Linked DNA regions of Canis lupus familiaris. The protein of the gene in region 1 binds, or shares a complex with, the protein of each later gene. Links are inferred from orthologs where the notes say so. Each region holds a gene or a part of one and is shown on either strand. Other genes may lie near its edges.

Region 1 (5,695 bases):
AAAACTAAAATAATTAAGTTCTTCTAACAAATAGATAATATATAATAAAATATCTCAAAATTAGACCAGGTATGGACATGAGGCTAACATCTTCAGATTAACACCGTGGAACATAAATCCATTAAGGTTGCTTGTGACACAAAGAAATGCTGAGTTCCCCGTGTTAACAATTTTACTAAAAACAAACTTCACCACTGTATCTACCAGTACATGCAAGTTTATTAGTATAATCATAGCAAGTCCTATGCTAGAATGAAGTTGTCAAGAAACTAAAACTCTATTTCCAAAATTAAAGTGATTAAATCCGTATCCTTCATATGTGGCAGAATTCAAATGTTTGCATTTATTTTTTTTTAAGATTTTAATTTATTTATTCATGAGACAGAGAGAGAGGCAGAGCAATAGGCTGAAGGAGCCCCATGCAGGACTCGATCTCAGGACCCCAGCGTCACAACCCCAGCCAAAGGCAAACACTCAACCACTGAGCCACCCAGGTGCCTTGATTTGTTTTAAATTAATATTCAGGGAATATGTCTGCAAGTGAAACCATTGAGAGTTCTCTGTACTCTAATTCTTTGGAATGTTCACCTTTCTTGTGTATTTTACAATATTGGTCCTATTCTAAAAGCCAAATCTATAAATGGATTTGCTAATTATCTGTTGGCACATTAACTTCATTTTTTAACATTTCTAGTTGCTAGTTTATATTTAAGAAGCTCTGTTTTCAGACAAAGGAAAAGATTTTGGGTAATATATTTACAACCCCATTCATTCTAATAAAATGAAATGCTAGATACAAGAACTCTGAAGTTAGACTACATGCAACCAAGTTTTCAAAGAGGGGAAAGGAGTCAAATAAATGAAGCCTAAGTACTGGATGATGATGTGTTTGTCTATTTAAAATATCCGATTATGTCATACAACTGACCACCTTATGCTCTCTTCATATAACAGAATACAATTATAAAACTACACTGATTTGGATCTACTATAATTCAAACAACATTCCTCACGTCATGGAGTAACTACATACAAATAAGCCCTAACAGTTTTGAAAAAGCTCTTCAGGAACAATACACATAGCATGGATTATGCAAATATACACACAGTGTATCCAAAATCTCATTTTGACAACGTATTTCAACCTCCTACATCACTATTTTTCTCCAACCACTGCCAAGAAGCCAATCAGAATTCAGATTTTCACCTCCTAGCCCTAATACCACTCATTCTAAGGTAAAAGCAATAATAAAACTGTCAAAAACAGATGTAACAAGGAAGCTGAGCAATCTATGAAGATGACAGGCCCTAAATAAGTAAACAAAATAGTGAACTGATTTATCAGTTTGGGGAGGTTATCCTAATCTAATATAGATGAAAACGATGGTTTAGGTAACCTCCCGTTCTGCCTTCCCTGCACACAAGGAACTTAATAGCTTAATTTGTTAAATGGCATGTACAAGGATCTGGAAAATGTTCCTAACAGTTAAAAATGAATGTTTATCAAATAGACATCTCATTTAATAAACCAAAAAGCTCTCACTCCAAGCATATGCTAGAAAGGCGAGGGGGAGTGAGGCGGGAGCTGGGGCCTGCAGTGGGGGGACGGCGTGGGAGGGGCGACCAAACTAAATATGAAACATAGTCCCCACTCTTCAAGGGTCTCTCAATTCGTTAGAGTACAAGAGTATGCAGCAGTAAGTCAAAGACCAATTAATTGCTAACCTGAGTGGTACAGACTTTAAGAGCAAGAGCTGTCCAGAGAAGTTTAAATATCTAAAGATTGGAATAATAATATTACTTTTAATAGCTATCACTTGAGCACTTACTATAAGCCAAGTGCTTTACAGGTATTATTTAGTCTTCACAACAATCCTTTGAATAGAGTACTTATTAATCCCAATTTACTCAAGGGGAAACGGTCAAAGTGGTTAAGGAACTTACCCAAGGTCACTCAGCTAGTTAAGTGGCTAAGACCGCCGCTTATCCAGGAAATACAATTCTAGAGCTCACACAGTTAAGACTTGGTAAAGCAGCGCGAGTGCGAGTGCGCGTGGAGCCGGGGGGAGGGAGGGCGCGGGAGGGGAGAAGGAGGAGTCCATACAAGCTGGCAATATCACACGCGCAAGATCGGGCAACGCATTCCCCGGGTTTCGTTCGAAGTAACGAAGTTCCAAAGATTCGTTATCTTTCGCGCGAGCAACCGTAAACTATGGGGGGAGGGGGCGGCCGACCGCAAAAATGGCTAACGAGAGTTAGCTCATACAGCGTTGAGCTTTGGTTAATAAAGCGATTCAGAGAACGAAATTAGAAATAAATTCTTTGTTTTTGAATCTGGGGTTTTACTGCTTAAACGATTCCTTTCTTTCCGAGGGAGCGCGAACTGAAATTTGGGGCGAGGAAACCGCGGGTATGGCAAATTACTGTTTTCTGTATTACCAGGGGAAAAAAACAAGTTTTATGACTAAAGGGAACGCGTTATTCCAGGTACTTGAGAACCCTGAGAGTCGCCAAAATTAGTTGCAGTCCCAGGACAAAATGGGGTTTAAGAAACATTTAATGACGAAAGTTGAATCAAAACCGAAATGGCTCTAAAGTGAAAAGCCGGAGCAAAGAAATGCCGGTAGGTCTTCGTGGGAAAGCGGCAATCCCAGCTACACTTCTCCCACGGCCAGCGGCGCCGCGCGAGGCCGGGACAATCCGAAAGACCGCTCCCCGGGAGGACGAGACGTGCCAACCGGGGCTCTTCGCGACGCCCCGGGCATCGCGGCAGCGGGCGGAGAGGAGGGGAGGGAGTCGGGACGGTTCGCCCTCCTCGGACTTCGGGCAAAGGAGGCGTCGGGCTCCAAACTGCAGAGTCGAACGGGTGCAGAGTGAAGAAATGGGACACAAAGATGTAAAGTCCGAACCCCCCCTCCCGGCGCGGCCCCGTAAAGAGAAAGGAGCCAAGTGAGCTCAAGCGAAGAGGGGGACAAAAAGACGGAGCGGGAGCGCGTAGACCCGCAGGGGCGAAACGGGAGTTCTGCTAAGACACTAAAGGAAGACAGCCTACGGCGGGCAACGAGGATTTTGGAGAGGCCAGAGAAGGAAGGAGGTCGGCGGCGGTTACCAGCACCTCTCCTCCCCGAGTTCGAAACTCCTAGCCAACCCTCCACACCCGCCGCCCGGATGGGGGAGGGGGCACATCTTCCCCCCACAACCTCTCCCCACAAGGGAGAGCACGGCTGACGCCCGGGCCCGGCCCGGCCGTGCGCCCGCCTCCAGCCCGGACACTCACAATTCGCCTCTCCCTGATTTCTCCCAGTTCTTTATCCACTCTACGGGAACCACCACAGTTGCGGCCGCCATCTTCCCCTCACTAGTAGCAGAGGCCCGGATGTGTAGCACGCGAGCGAGGGGTCAAAGGGGAGCACCGCCCACGGGGAATGCCGGGAGCTGCGAGTTCGGTTTTCGGTTTCCCGCCCCACTTTCTTCCCCACCCGCGGAAACCCGAGGCCTGGCCTCCAACCAGGTGGCTGAGACCCGTGGGTCCTTGGCCGTGACTACGCCGACCGCGCCCTCTACAACCCTTGCTCTGGCTTCCCTTTAGAACAGGAAGAATGCCTTCCCCAGACCGACACATAGCCCTTGTCCTCTTCGGTAGTATCTACTCCAGGCCACTAATTCAAACATGTATTTTTCAAGCACCTAGTGTGTGCTAGACACTGGGGACAGAGAAGCACTAAGTCATTGTGCCTACCCTCAAGGAGCTCACAGTCTGTGGGAAAAACTAACATAAGATCAATTTACAATACACGCTACTAACTGCTGAGATCAAAGAAATTCATCAGAAAATAAGCAGCCATTTACTATGTGCTAGACATGCTAATACAAGGGATACAAGCAGAAACTGACCCCTGGAAACACTTGCCGCCATCAGCGCTGACACCCTACTGTAATCAGCCTCTGTCTCCGTAACCTTAGACAAAACTAGGGGGCGCAATTACCATAAGAAACAACTTGTTTACATTACAGAGTCTCGAAGTATCTCCCGACAAAATACTATTTCCAAGGCGAAATAGGAACTATGGTGGGAAAATATGGCGGACACCGTCCCAATTATGATGAAAACTCAGCACACCCGGGAATGGGCATCATTTGCCTCCTGATAAGGTGGTAAGAAAAGCACTAACCAATTTTGTAGCATTCATGACACGGAAATTCGCAGAACCTGAATTCAATCGTGAGGGAACATCAAACAAACCCATAGAGGGACAGTCTACAAAATTACTGGCTTGCACTCTTCAAAATCATCAAAGTCACTAAAGACAATCTAGACATATTGAGGAACTCCTCCGGATGAGTAGAAACAACAGACAGGACAACGGATCCCCAGCCAGAAAAAGATCATTTTTCCTTTGCTAAGGGCATTATTGGGACAATTGACAAAATTTGAATATCTGTAGACTAACGATATTCTACCAATGTAAATTTCTTGTTTTTTTTATACTTGTACTATGGTTAATGTGAAAGTCCTTGTTTAAGAAAATACTCGCTGGAGTACTGAGAGGTAATAGGACATTATGTTGCAACTTACTCTAAAATGTCTCAGAAGAAAACCCTAGGATGATTAAGAAAATGTAAAATATTAACATGCTAGGAGTCTAAGTGAAGGACATGCAGGGACTTTCTGTTCTATTTGTGCAACTTTTCAAAATAAAAAAGTTTTTTAGGGCAGCCCCAGTGGCGCAGCAGTTTAGCGCTGCCTGCAGCCTGGGGTGTGATCCTGGAGGCCCAGGATCGAGTCCCACATCGGGCTCCTTGCATGGAACCTGCTTCTCCCTCTGCCTGTGTCTCTGCCTCTCTCTCTCTCTGTGTCTCTCATGAATAAATAAATAAAATATTTTTTTTAGGTTTTTTAAAATACGGGTTTGGCAGAAATTTTAGAAAGCATAGGCAAACCAAAGAAGGAAACCTTATCACACATATATTAAAGTATGAACTTTAGAACTAGTACCTTCTAAATTTGGCAGTTTTCACCAAATGGATCAGGTTCATTTGCATTGAAAAGATGTTGGAGGGATAGGCTGTATTCAGAATAAGTTCTGGGAAAATACTACATTGTTCATGATTGTTTTTCATCAGCTATTTCTAGTCTCCTAACGTCCTGTCTGATTTTGAAGTCCTAAAGCCACTAATTAGAAAATACACACCGTTTAGTTTCAGTGAAATCTGTTCGTAAAGACCCTATGCCATTTCAAGGAGGTTCAAAGATATGCTCGCTGATTTTTTTCATTTTTCATTATTATGGATTCTTCAAAAATGAACAGAAAGGCACAGTAAATCCTCATTGCACCATCATCCTCCCTTAAAAACATCTGAAATCTTTATTACAGAATGGCTTTTGTGATACAAGAAACGCTCTCCTGCTGCTTATGGATAACCTATAGCAGTGGGCATTATTTACATTTGAGTCCAAATAGATCTTTACAGAGGACAGGGAGGATGGTGTGCAGTTCATAACCCCCCAACACACACCAGTTGTTACAAAAGGCTTTCTAGACATTGTAAAATGTCTCTTTCAGTGCAAATAACCCTGTTGAGAGCCAATGGCAATATTCTGCTGTATTGTGGTTTACCTTGCCACTTTATCACAGTGATTTCTCCTTCCAAACACTGAACTATGTGCAGTATGCATACTACTCAGTATGCCACA
Region 2 (4,919 bases), on another chromosome or scaffold:
CATTTTACCTTCCAACACTGGAAACACTACACACCACCCACACTGGGGCCTTTGGGTCAGAAACATCCCAGCCCCTCCTAGGCCACTGAAAAAAAAAAAAAAAAAAAAAGGGAAGACACTTTCACAAAGGGCAGAAATTGAAGTAGCAAGGAGCAATGGCTTCTGCAGTCTTAGTCACATCCCCCTCCCCCCCTCTGATCCCTCCCAACTGACCTGAGCCCCACAGCAGGGCACACAGTCCTTATAAGAATGAATATACACTGAATCATGACCTAATCTCACCCCAAACCCAATAAAGGCATGGAGCACTTACAGACACCACAGACGCATGTGTTTTTTAGTTTTGTTAAAAAAAAAAAAAAAATTTCCGACAATTCAGGAAACAGGGATTCAGGAGTGGTGGTGATGCAAAAGGGGGAAGCCATGGGGTGGGGGGTGGGGGTTGTCACGGGTAGGTGGCAGTAGTGTCTCCTTCACCCCATGTCTACTGTCGTCTCCTGAAGAGGGACAGACTGTCACATTCCAAAATGGGTGGGTAAGTCCTCTACCGCGTCTGTTCAACTGGAGAGAAAACATGGCACAATTACAAGACATGGAAAAGGCAAGGCTGGCAGAAAACATGCCCCCACCCCCCACTACATGCAGATGTCTGTAGTTTGTGGGTGCAAAGGATAGACTGGGGGTAGGGAAAAATAAACTAGCTTGTTAAGAAAAGAGACATACAGATCAACTAAACATCCCAGCAGGGGCATCAAGATCCAAAGGACATAATTAAGTGCCTGTTACACACTAGAGGCTCTTTGTGTACATGATGGGATTTAAGACAAACACACTAAGGAACAAGGAGACTGAAGAGTTGAGCCAGTTTCTTAAGATCCATACTCACTGTAAGAGGAAATGTCTATCTCATCTGGCAGCTCACTAATATTGACTTCAAAGCGATCCTGCACATCATTGAGGATCTTGGCATCATTTTCATCTGATACAAATGTGATGGCCAAGCCCTTGGTGCCAAACCGGCCTGCTCGGGCCACCTGGAAGGAGACAGAGGATAGTCCTGGGAGATCCCGAAGTAGGAAGACATCCAAAAAGAAGGGAGAGGCTATCAGGTATGAAGATACAAAATCAGGGGGAGGGGACACTGGAATGCACGTGTGGGTGTGGAGCTTACCCGATGCAGGTAAGTGTCAGAATCCTCAGGCATGTCATAGTTGAAGGCAATGTTCACCCGCTCAATGTCCATGCCTCGGCCAAATAGGTTGGTAGCCACAAGAATTCGTCGTTGAAAATCTTTAAACTGCTGATACCGAGAAAGCCTTCGTGAGAAAGGAAATTAGAAAAATACTGAGTCCCTTCGCTTCAACGGTCTCTTTTCCTTCCCAAGGACACAAAACATCTTTCCATTTCTGACTTACCTCTCCTCCTGGGGCATCCCTCGGTGGATGGCAATGGCTGGGAAGTTCTGCTCTACCAGCAGCTGGGCGAGGGCAATGCAACGCTGCACAGACTTCACAAAGATCACCACCTGGGTGTGTGACAGTTGGGGGACATGGGTCCATGTGGGATAAGTGAGAGATTAAGTGTGAGAAGAGTTTTCAGTAACTACTCTTTTACTCTTCCTGAAACTTCTCCAATCCCCATTACATATTCCTCTTCTGTTCTAAATACAACTTAGCCTTTCTCACTCAGTTCTGATTTTTCCTGAGCAGACATGCTGAAGAGAAGATACAGAGAAAAGTAACTAAAACTACCAGATATGTTAGGGAGACAAGGATGAAGCTAATGGTAAAAATGAAAGTGGTAAAAATTTAAAGTGTGGAAAAAAAAAATTTAAAGTGTGGAGAGTAGTTTCTGCTCATCAAAAACATCAAACATATGCAATTTACCTTAATTTTAGAAAGTTTTTGGTGCAAACGAACCACAGCAGGTAAAGTATGGAACATTTCTTCTCAGTAAACAGTACAAGAAAAAACAAATTTTAAAAACCCAAGAAACCCAAGATATTTTGGAACTTTTACAAGTTTATGAAATCCTCTCAAGGATTTTGAGATTTTTCTTTACTCAATACCTGGCTGTGACAGCCAAAGAACAGAACAGCAGCTCCCATCTTGTTCACACTCAGCACCAAAGGCACTTAAATTCTCATTTAAAAGAATTTCATTTGAAGGTAATTTCCCCACTGTTCTCGCTCACATCACCTATGTCATATCCTCAACAAAAAGGTACTTAACCAGGTTTCTGCTACAGTTGGAGACGTGCTCATCCCCCTACTGGACTTTGAACAACTGACCTGATTGAACTCAAGGACATCGAGAAGGTCAAAGAGCTTCCGGTTCTTCTCGTTGTCCTTCAGTTTCACGTAGTACTGCTGCAACCCATGCAGCGTCAGCTTCGTCTCATCATCCACGAAGATCTCCATTGGCTGGGGGAGGGAGGGGGGAGTAGGGGGGGAACGGGAGGAGGGCAGAGTGGGGGGGTTAAACCTGGGGGGGTGGAGGAACTTGATCTCCAAAACACCCCATTGGGGGATGGGAAAAGAGAAGACTGAAAACCCCACCACACCCCCAAAAATATCCTCATTTTAATGTGGTCTCTTCCACGTTAGCTCTAATTTCCTTCCTAGCAGTTGTTTTAAGATTGCCCAAGTATCACGGGAAGGTAACCTGGCAAGGAGTTTGAAAAGGAGCAGTGAGACCACCCAATGGCAAGATGCCATGACCTCAAAAGGAGGTAGCAGAGGAAAGAAAACAATGGGAGAGGATCCCCAAAGGGAAAATGTAATCCAAACACCTGGGAATTGGTGGACATGGTGACTCGAGGTCAGGAATTCCACCACTATTGGTTGTAAAAATAGAGGGGAAGACAGGGATTGCTTCATTTGAGTATTCTCCCAACTAAGAGAATCAGGGGGCACCTGGGTGGCTCAATCGGTTAGGCGTCTGCCTTCGGCTCAGGTCATAATCTCAGGGTCCTAGGATCAAGCTCCGAGTCAGGCTCCCTCCTCAGTGGGGATCTGCTTCTCCCTCTCCCTCTGCTCCTCCACCTGCTTGTGCTTGCTCTCTCTCAAATCAATACATAAAATATTAAGGAAAAAACCAAACAACTAAGAGAATCAGATCCACATCAGGAGGGTGGATTATCTGTCAAGATCAGAATGCTAAAATGAACATAGTCAAAAATACCATGAAAAGTTACTCAGGATGAGTAATAACTCGCCCTCAGACCACAAGGGAATAGTTCAGATGGCACTGGTCTCTGAACTAGGAGTCAAATCAACTAGTGTTACATGGACAGTACCAATAAATGGTGTTAAGAAACAAATTCAGAGCAGCAGATATACAACCATCTTGTAATATATATATGTATATATATATATATATACACACACATATATATGTATATATGTATATACACACACATACACACACGCACGCACACATAAAACCCTTTAAGGGGAGGAAGATAGCAAAAAAAAAACAAACTGACACAAGACTCAACTCCTGAGTCCAAGTTTCCTAGCACTCTTCACTAACCTGGGGACATAATTAACATGAACACCCAGGGCCCAAGGTTTCAGGAAAGGATGAGTGGCACGGGAGAGAACCAGAAGCCCAATCCCAGAAAGCAGGCTTGCAAAAGCAGGCTTTTCAAAATGAAGCTTCATGGCCTCCTTCAAATCTAGCCCCAAGTATAACTAAAGGTAACTGACATCCCACGGGAAGGAGCAGTACAGGATAAGAAAGAATACACTGCACTGTTTATACAATAGGGCCCGTCTAGTGCCAAACCCTAACACCCACCTGGTTACATCCAAGTGGAGCTCCTCACATTACTTTTCCCATATCCCTCTCCTTGGAGTATTAAAAAATTGTTTTAAAAAAGAAAAAAAACTACCCCCCGTTTCAGGACACCCCTCCCCCCAACACATATGGGGAAAAACAGGGAGCACGGCACGCCTTGGATTCAGGAAAAAAACCGGGAACAGAAAAAGAGGCTGGTTTGGTCCTCAGCTTCCTGGTCAGGTTTCCCCGCGGCCTCCGCTGCCGCCATCCACCGCTGGGTGCCGTCTGCATTTCCCCCGCCGTTCCATGGTGCTTCTCCGCTGCCGGCTCACATCAGCCGAGATTCCGGATGGGTGCGAGGAGGTATGGACGGAAGGAGTAAGGGATCGGGGACTGAGGTGCCAAAGGCCCCCACCCCTGGAGGTGGGGAGGGAGCGGATTCATTTGTGCTGTTTGCTCTTCTTTTGGACATGCCCTGCCATCTGTCTGTCCCTCTCTTGCTCTCCTGCCACCGGGGGGTTGAGTTTTGGGGAGCAGAAGGCTCCAACTGTCTGCTCCATGCCACCTTGAGGGTGCGTGGCTGTAAAGGGGTATGTAGGAGACGATGGGTGGGTAGTAGGGCAGAAAATCCTGCCCTCCCCCAAAAAGGAAGAAGAGGTTCAAAAATGCTGTGATGAAAAAAAAAAAAAAAAAAAGGTCGAACACTACCCGCTCTCAAGTTAACCCGACCAAGTCTTCCGGAGTTTCCCTGGCACCCGCGCAGACCCTAACACTAGCTGTCTCTGCCTCTGTGTGTCTCTTCAAGGAGTCATCACTCCCAGATGGGCACGTGCCCCCTTCTTGGCATTTGAAGGACAAGGGAGTCTGGAGGAAGAGGGCGCAGAAGGGGAGGAGGCAGTGGGCGGGGAGTGGAGGGAGAGAAGGTAGAAGGGTATTTACGTCTTGCATGAACTTGCGGCAGACAGGACGGATCTCTTTGCTCAAGGTAGCACTGAACATCATGACCTGCTTCTCATGGGGGGTCATGCGAAAAATTTCCTGGACATCCCGACGCATGTCTACAAGAAAAAGGAAAAAAATCCTAGAAGGAAAGAAGGAAATGTCATAGACAAAGACCGGAGACAGCCTCCCCAGTGA
Region 3 (4,919 bases), on another chromosome or scaffold:
TTACTTGAAGTCCAATGCCATTAAGAGAACAGTCTTCTCCACCAACCCCCAGCTAATAACTTTCTTCACATTCCTATCTTGAAGCACAATCACTGCAGTATACCTCATGGCAGAAAGGGAACCTCAAAATAGGGTGCTTCTTTCTGCTTTGTTTCAGATACTTTAGGTACAATTAAGCTCAAGCAATTAAATACACATCACATTCTGGAACTCATGGGAAACGTATTCTCTTTACGGAGAAATTTCTATCCTAACCAGTCACAAGACATTCTCCAAACTACAGGGACCCAGAACTTTTCTGAACATACTGCAGTCTAACCACTACCATCACTCTAAAGAGCAAAATCACCCCTGCTAATACACACTTTCAATTTCCTTGTTTAGAAATTCATTAATAAAATCAAATGCTCTGAATAAGAGAATTACACATCTCACATATTCTAAGAATAATGAACTTCTACGAATTTTCAAACTTCATTGTTAACCTACAAAAACCAATTATCATTGTATTCACCTTATCTTCCTTCTTCCTCCAGATGTTCCCCAAAACATTGCTACTTTAAATGTATTCTATAAGCCATTTCCTTAAGGCATTATATCTAAACGTAAACCTCCTATGATGGAAGATAACTAGATGGCTTTAAAAAGCAATATTATTAGGGGTGCCTGGGTAGCTTGGTCAGTTAAGCATCTAAATCTTGATTTGGATTTCAGCTCAGGTCATCATCTCAGAGCTGTGAAATCAACCCCCACATCAGGCTCTGTGCTGGGCATGGAGCCTGCTTAAGATTCTCTCTTTCCTTCTGCCCCTTTCCTCCCACCAAAAGCAGTATTATTAGATAAAATCTAATGAAACATTAAATGTATATCCCCTGTGATGCAGCAAATCCACTGCAGGGAATTTATCGCATGGACACACTTGCATAAGTATAAATATAGCTGCTTAAAGACACGCAGCACTGCATTTTTTGCTATTATGAATTACCTAAATGTCCATCAACAGGAGACTGGTTTGAAATTACTGTTCATCAATAGAATGGAGTACTATTAGCTGCTAGAAGAATAAGGTTCTATGTTGATAACTACTAAATCTGGGTGAGCAGTACATACAGGTCTATTATACTGTTCTCATAACTTGTATATATACTTGCCATTTCCCACAATAGCAAGCTAAAAAAAGAGACCTACCACTTAGAAAGATAATTACACCATTTCATACGGTTGATGTGAGGACTAAATGGGAATACATGCAAAGCACTTAGAATCCTGCCTTGTGGGGATCCCTGGATGGCTCAGCGGTTGAGCACCTGCCTTCCACCCAGGGTGTGATCCTGGAGTCCCCGGATCAAGTCCCACATCAGGCTCCCTTCGTGGAGCCTGCTTCTCCCTCTGCCTGTGTCTCTGCCTCTCTCTCTCTCTGTCTCTGATGAATAAATAAAATCTTAAAAAAAATAATCCTGCCTTGTATATAACATTTTAATAAAAACATTATTATAAGGTAGCCCCAGTGGAGCAGCGGTTTAGTGCCGCCTGCAGCCCGGGGTGTGCTCCTGGGGACCCGGGATCAAGTCCCATGTTGGGCTTCCTGAGTGGAGCCTGCTTCTCCCTCTGCCTGTGTCTCTGCCTCTCTCTGTGTCTCTCATGAATAAATAAATAAAATTAAAAAAAAAAAACAATTATTATATAATGACTATAAAAACACATGAGAATAATCAAGAAACCCACAATATGCCTAGTGTATGTATGTATGTATCTGTACATGCATACATACACAAACTCTCCATATAACATTCTAAAGAAATATATTGAAAACCTCTGGAAAGTCAGATGGGAGTAGAGAGAAGAGGTACATAATTTTCGGTTTATATACTTATCTACATAGTATTTGACTTATCACAAGCACATATATCATTTTTTATAATTAAATGCATAAATACAGCTATGAGGAACAAAAATGTTAAAAAGGATTCAACGGTTATTAATTACTGGATTTGACAGCCCTCAAAAAAGAGGTTTATGATCAACCTGTGGGATAGTTTTTTTTTTTTTTTTTAAGATTTTATTTATTCATGAGAGACACAGAGAGAGAGAGAGAGAGGCAGAGGGAGAAGCAGGCTCCATGCAGGGAGCCCGACGCGGAACTTGATCCCAGGTCTCCAGGATCAGGCCCTGGGCCGAAGGCGGTGCCAAACTGCTGAGCCACTCGGGCTGCCCTGTGGGATAGTTTAAATAAGGTCCACTTTCTACTCTAGTACTTTGTCTTCCCTTCTTCCACTGTAAATCAAAAAGGGAGAGAGAATAAAGTGTTACCTAAAAGACATTATCTCTGCTCAGAACCATCCTCCCTTACAAAATTCCTTATTCACAGGAAAATCTAGATGTTTATACAGAAAAAGAATCATCCATTATGGTCCTACAACAAAGGCTAGAACTAAACTCTGTCTGAGATTGAAGTTTCCTGGTCCTAGTTATCTATTACATAACCCAGAGACAAACCACTTTGCTTCACTGGGACCATGTTCTGAAAATGTATGATCTAATAAAAAATGAAAAAGCCAATGGAAAGGTTTAAGAAGTAAAGAGAGTGAAAGACTAAACCCCTCCAAAACCCAGAACTATCTGCCCTTACTCAGATCATAAAAAAGGGATAGTTACACATCAACAGTTTTCTCAGGAGGTTCTTCCTCTTTGACAGGTAGTTCTATGGGCTTTGGTTCTTCTTCCTAAAACCAAATGAAATAATGGTTAATATAAACCAACAGTAAGTACCCAACAATAAGAGTATTAGAACTCAAAAATGAACCAGTTTTTCAGAACCTTCATTCCCCCCTCTATGCTCCCCTAACAAGTTAGCATTTAAGCCCTCTAATGATTGATGGTAAGCAATGTGGCCAAGGTATCAACATGTTGCCAGGCCAGTGACTAACCTTACTCTCTCCAACTCACCTCTGTTTCATCTCCCAGAACATCTTCTTCATTTGCCTCCTCTTCAGCTAAAGAATATTAAAATATTCAGGTCAAGCCCTGCTAAAAAAAAACCATCTTGATCACTGTACTTAGGCTAAAATTATAATCATTTTGCTTTCCCAAAATAAAATTCAATAGTTGAAGGCAGATCTGATGCTCATAAAATCTGCTCCACATGGAAAAGATAAAGCCGTATTATTCTCTACCTAACATTAATACAAAGTTGAACTCCAGCTGCACTGAAAAACCATAATAAGGTCAAACTATAACATTAATGTTACAGAGAATATCTTTAATATTTAGTGGTGAGGAGGGATTTCTAAAAAAAAAAAAACAAAAAAACAAAAAACACTGCAGGGTAGCCCCAGTGGCCCAGCAGTTTAGTGCCACCTTCAGCCCAGGGCATGATCCTGGAGAACCAGGATCAAGTCCCATGTCAGGCTCCCTGCATGGAGCCTGCTTCTCCCTCTGCCTATGTCTCTGTCTCTCGTGAATAAATAAATAAATAAATCTTAACAAAACAAAACAACAAAACCAAACACTGAAGTAAAAGTTATATATGGGGATCCCTGGATGGCGCAGCGGTTTAGCGCCTGCCTTTGGCCCAGGGCGCGATCTTGGAGACCCGGGATCGAATCCCCGTCGGGCTCCCGGTGCATGGAGCCTGCTTCTCCCTCTGCCTATGTCTCTGCCTCTCTCTCTCTCTCTCTGTGACTATCATAAATAAATAAAAATTTAAAAAAAAAAAAAACCAAAAATAAAAAAATAAAAGTTATATATGAAAAATTGCAGATTTTCCAAAACTAAGACACCATGGGAAAAGAAACAAATGACAAAGAGAGTATTTGTGTTTAAGACCAACAGGGAACAGCTACCAGAATATAAAAGAAATGTCTGCAAACTAACAAGTGAATTATGGGAACCCCAAAAGAAAAACGGCAAAGGAAAAACCCTACAAACCATGAACACAAGAAATGTTCAAACTTTTTAATAACTAGAGGAATGTAAATTGAACCAACAGTTTAATGAAAATGAAGCCACTTAACAGGATAGTGCCAAGTTTAGGTGTGTGGAGGAGATACAAGAACCCTCATGCACTGATGATGGCACTGTAGATTTACAGAGCAATTTTGGAAAATAATTTGGCAGTGCTTAATCATATCAGGAATACCTTATGAATAGATATTAACTGGTAATCCCACTCCTGGGTGTATACCCTAGAAAGACACTCACCAAGAAATATAAAAGAATATGAAAGTAGTAGTCTAGGAGGCAATATAGGTGTTTGTTACTAGGTGAATTAAGTAAAACGTAGTGGATTCCATACATGATAGAACACTATCCAGGAATTTGAATCAGTAGACTAGGTGACTACACAGCCATAGCCACACAGATATGAATGTATCTTAAAAAACAAACAAAAAAACAAAAAAACAAAAAAAAAAAACACAGTACTTAGAGAAAAAAAGTGAGAACTAAAGTAAGGCTATGGCCTCACTACCAATTACATAAAAACATTGTATTCCAAACAACACTACATGGTTTACAAGGACAAAGACAAAAAATACATATCAAGCACATTAGAATAGCTGCTTACAGGAGTTGGGGTAAAAGCAATAAAAGGGAATAAATAAAAATTAGCAGGAACTTGTACAACCTGGAATGATAATATGCCTTAAATAAAGCTGGTTTTGTTTATTTTTTAAAAAGTGGAATTATAGAATGTCAGAGTTAGAAGGAACCAGAGATTCCTTAGATTTACCAATTTCAAGTATGGAAACGTTTGTCTCATTGCATAGATCAGAACAGACACCTAGTCACTTAAACAGTGACTATTCAAAGTTATGAGTAACTTTCTGGCATAAGAGGTAGCAGAATTCAAATCTCCCAATTTTCAATCTAATGATACCTGTTTTAGCATACTTCCTTTTAAACAATTTACTGAAATAAAA

Evidence for each region. Proteins that work in one complex are often made in the same cells at the same time.
Region 2: the proteins of THOC2 (region 1) and DDX39B are in contact, whole or in part, in a cryo-EM structure (PDB 7APK), measured with the Homo sapiens proteins. The link is inferred for Canis lupus familiaris from reciprocal best matches to the Homo sapiens genes THOC2 and DDX39B. Residues at the interface, in NP_001075019.1 of Homo sapiens: Lys550, Tyr551, Met553, Lys554, Arg555, Leu556, Thr557, Lys558, Glu559, Tyr582, Gln586, Lys589, Tyr590, Asp591, Asn592, Leu593, Pro596; in NP_004631.1 of Homo sapiens: Leu282, Asp283, Val284, Leu285, Glu286, Phe287, Asn288, Gln310, Asn311, Phe312, Pro313, Asp335, Phe336, Gln337, Arg338, Arg339, Arg355, Ile420, Ile424, Glu425.
Region 3: THOC2 (region 1) and SARNP share a complex: the UniProt entries of both Homo sapiens proteins name them as parts of the transcription/export (TREX) complex. The link is inferred for Canis lupus familiaris from reciprocal best matches to the Homo sapiens genes THOC2 and SARNP.

The regions. Positions count from the first base shown.
Region 1 is NC_049260.1:95,958,338-95,964,032, forward strand, and holds the start of THOC2 (THO complex subunit 2), read right to left. Parts: upstream 3,423-5,695; 5' UTR 3,349-3,422; coding exon 3,278-3,348; intron 1-3,277. UniProt on the Homo sapiens protein: Component of the THO subcomplex of the TREX complex which is thought to couple mRNA transcription, processing and nuclear export, and which specifically associates with spliced mRNA and not with unspliced pre-mRNA.
Region 2 is NC_049233.1:1,170,660-1,175,578, forward strand, and holds the end of DDX39B (spliceosome RNA helicase DDX39B), read right to left. Parts: intron 4,841-4,919; coding exon 4,722-4,840; intron 2,423-4,721; coding exon 2,291-2,422; intron 1,526-2,290; coding exon 1,416-1,525; intron 1,317-1,415; coding exon 1,172-1,316; intron 1,035-1,171; coding exon 887-1,034; intron 562-886; coding exon 545-561; downstream 1-544. UniProt on the Homo sapiens protein: Involved in nuclear export of spliced and unspliced mRNA. Component of the TREX complex which is thought to couple mRNA transcription, processing and nuclear export, and specifically associates with spliced mRNA and not with unspliced pre-mRNA.
Region 3 is NC_049231.1:537,396-542,314, forward strand, and holds part of SARNP (SAP domain-containing ribonucleoprotein), read right to left. Parts: intron 2,994-4,919; coding exon 2,947-2,993; intron 2,724-2,946; coding exon 2,656-2,723; intron 1-2,655. UniProt on the Homo sapiens protein: Binds both single-stranded and double-stranded DNA with higher affinity for the single-stranded form. Specifically binds to scaffold/matrix attachment region DNA. Also binds single-stranded RNA. Enhances RNA unwinding activity of DDX39A.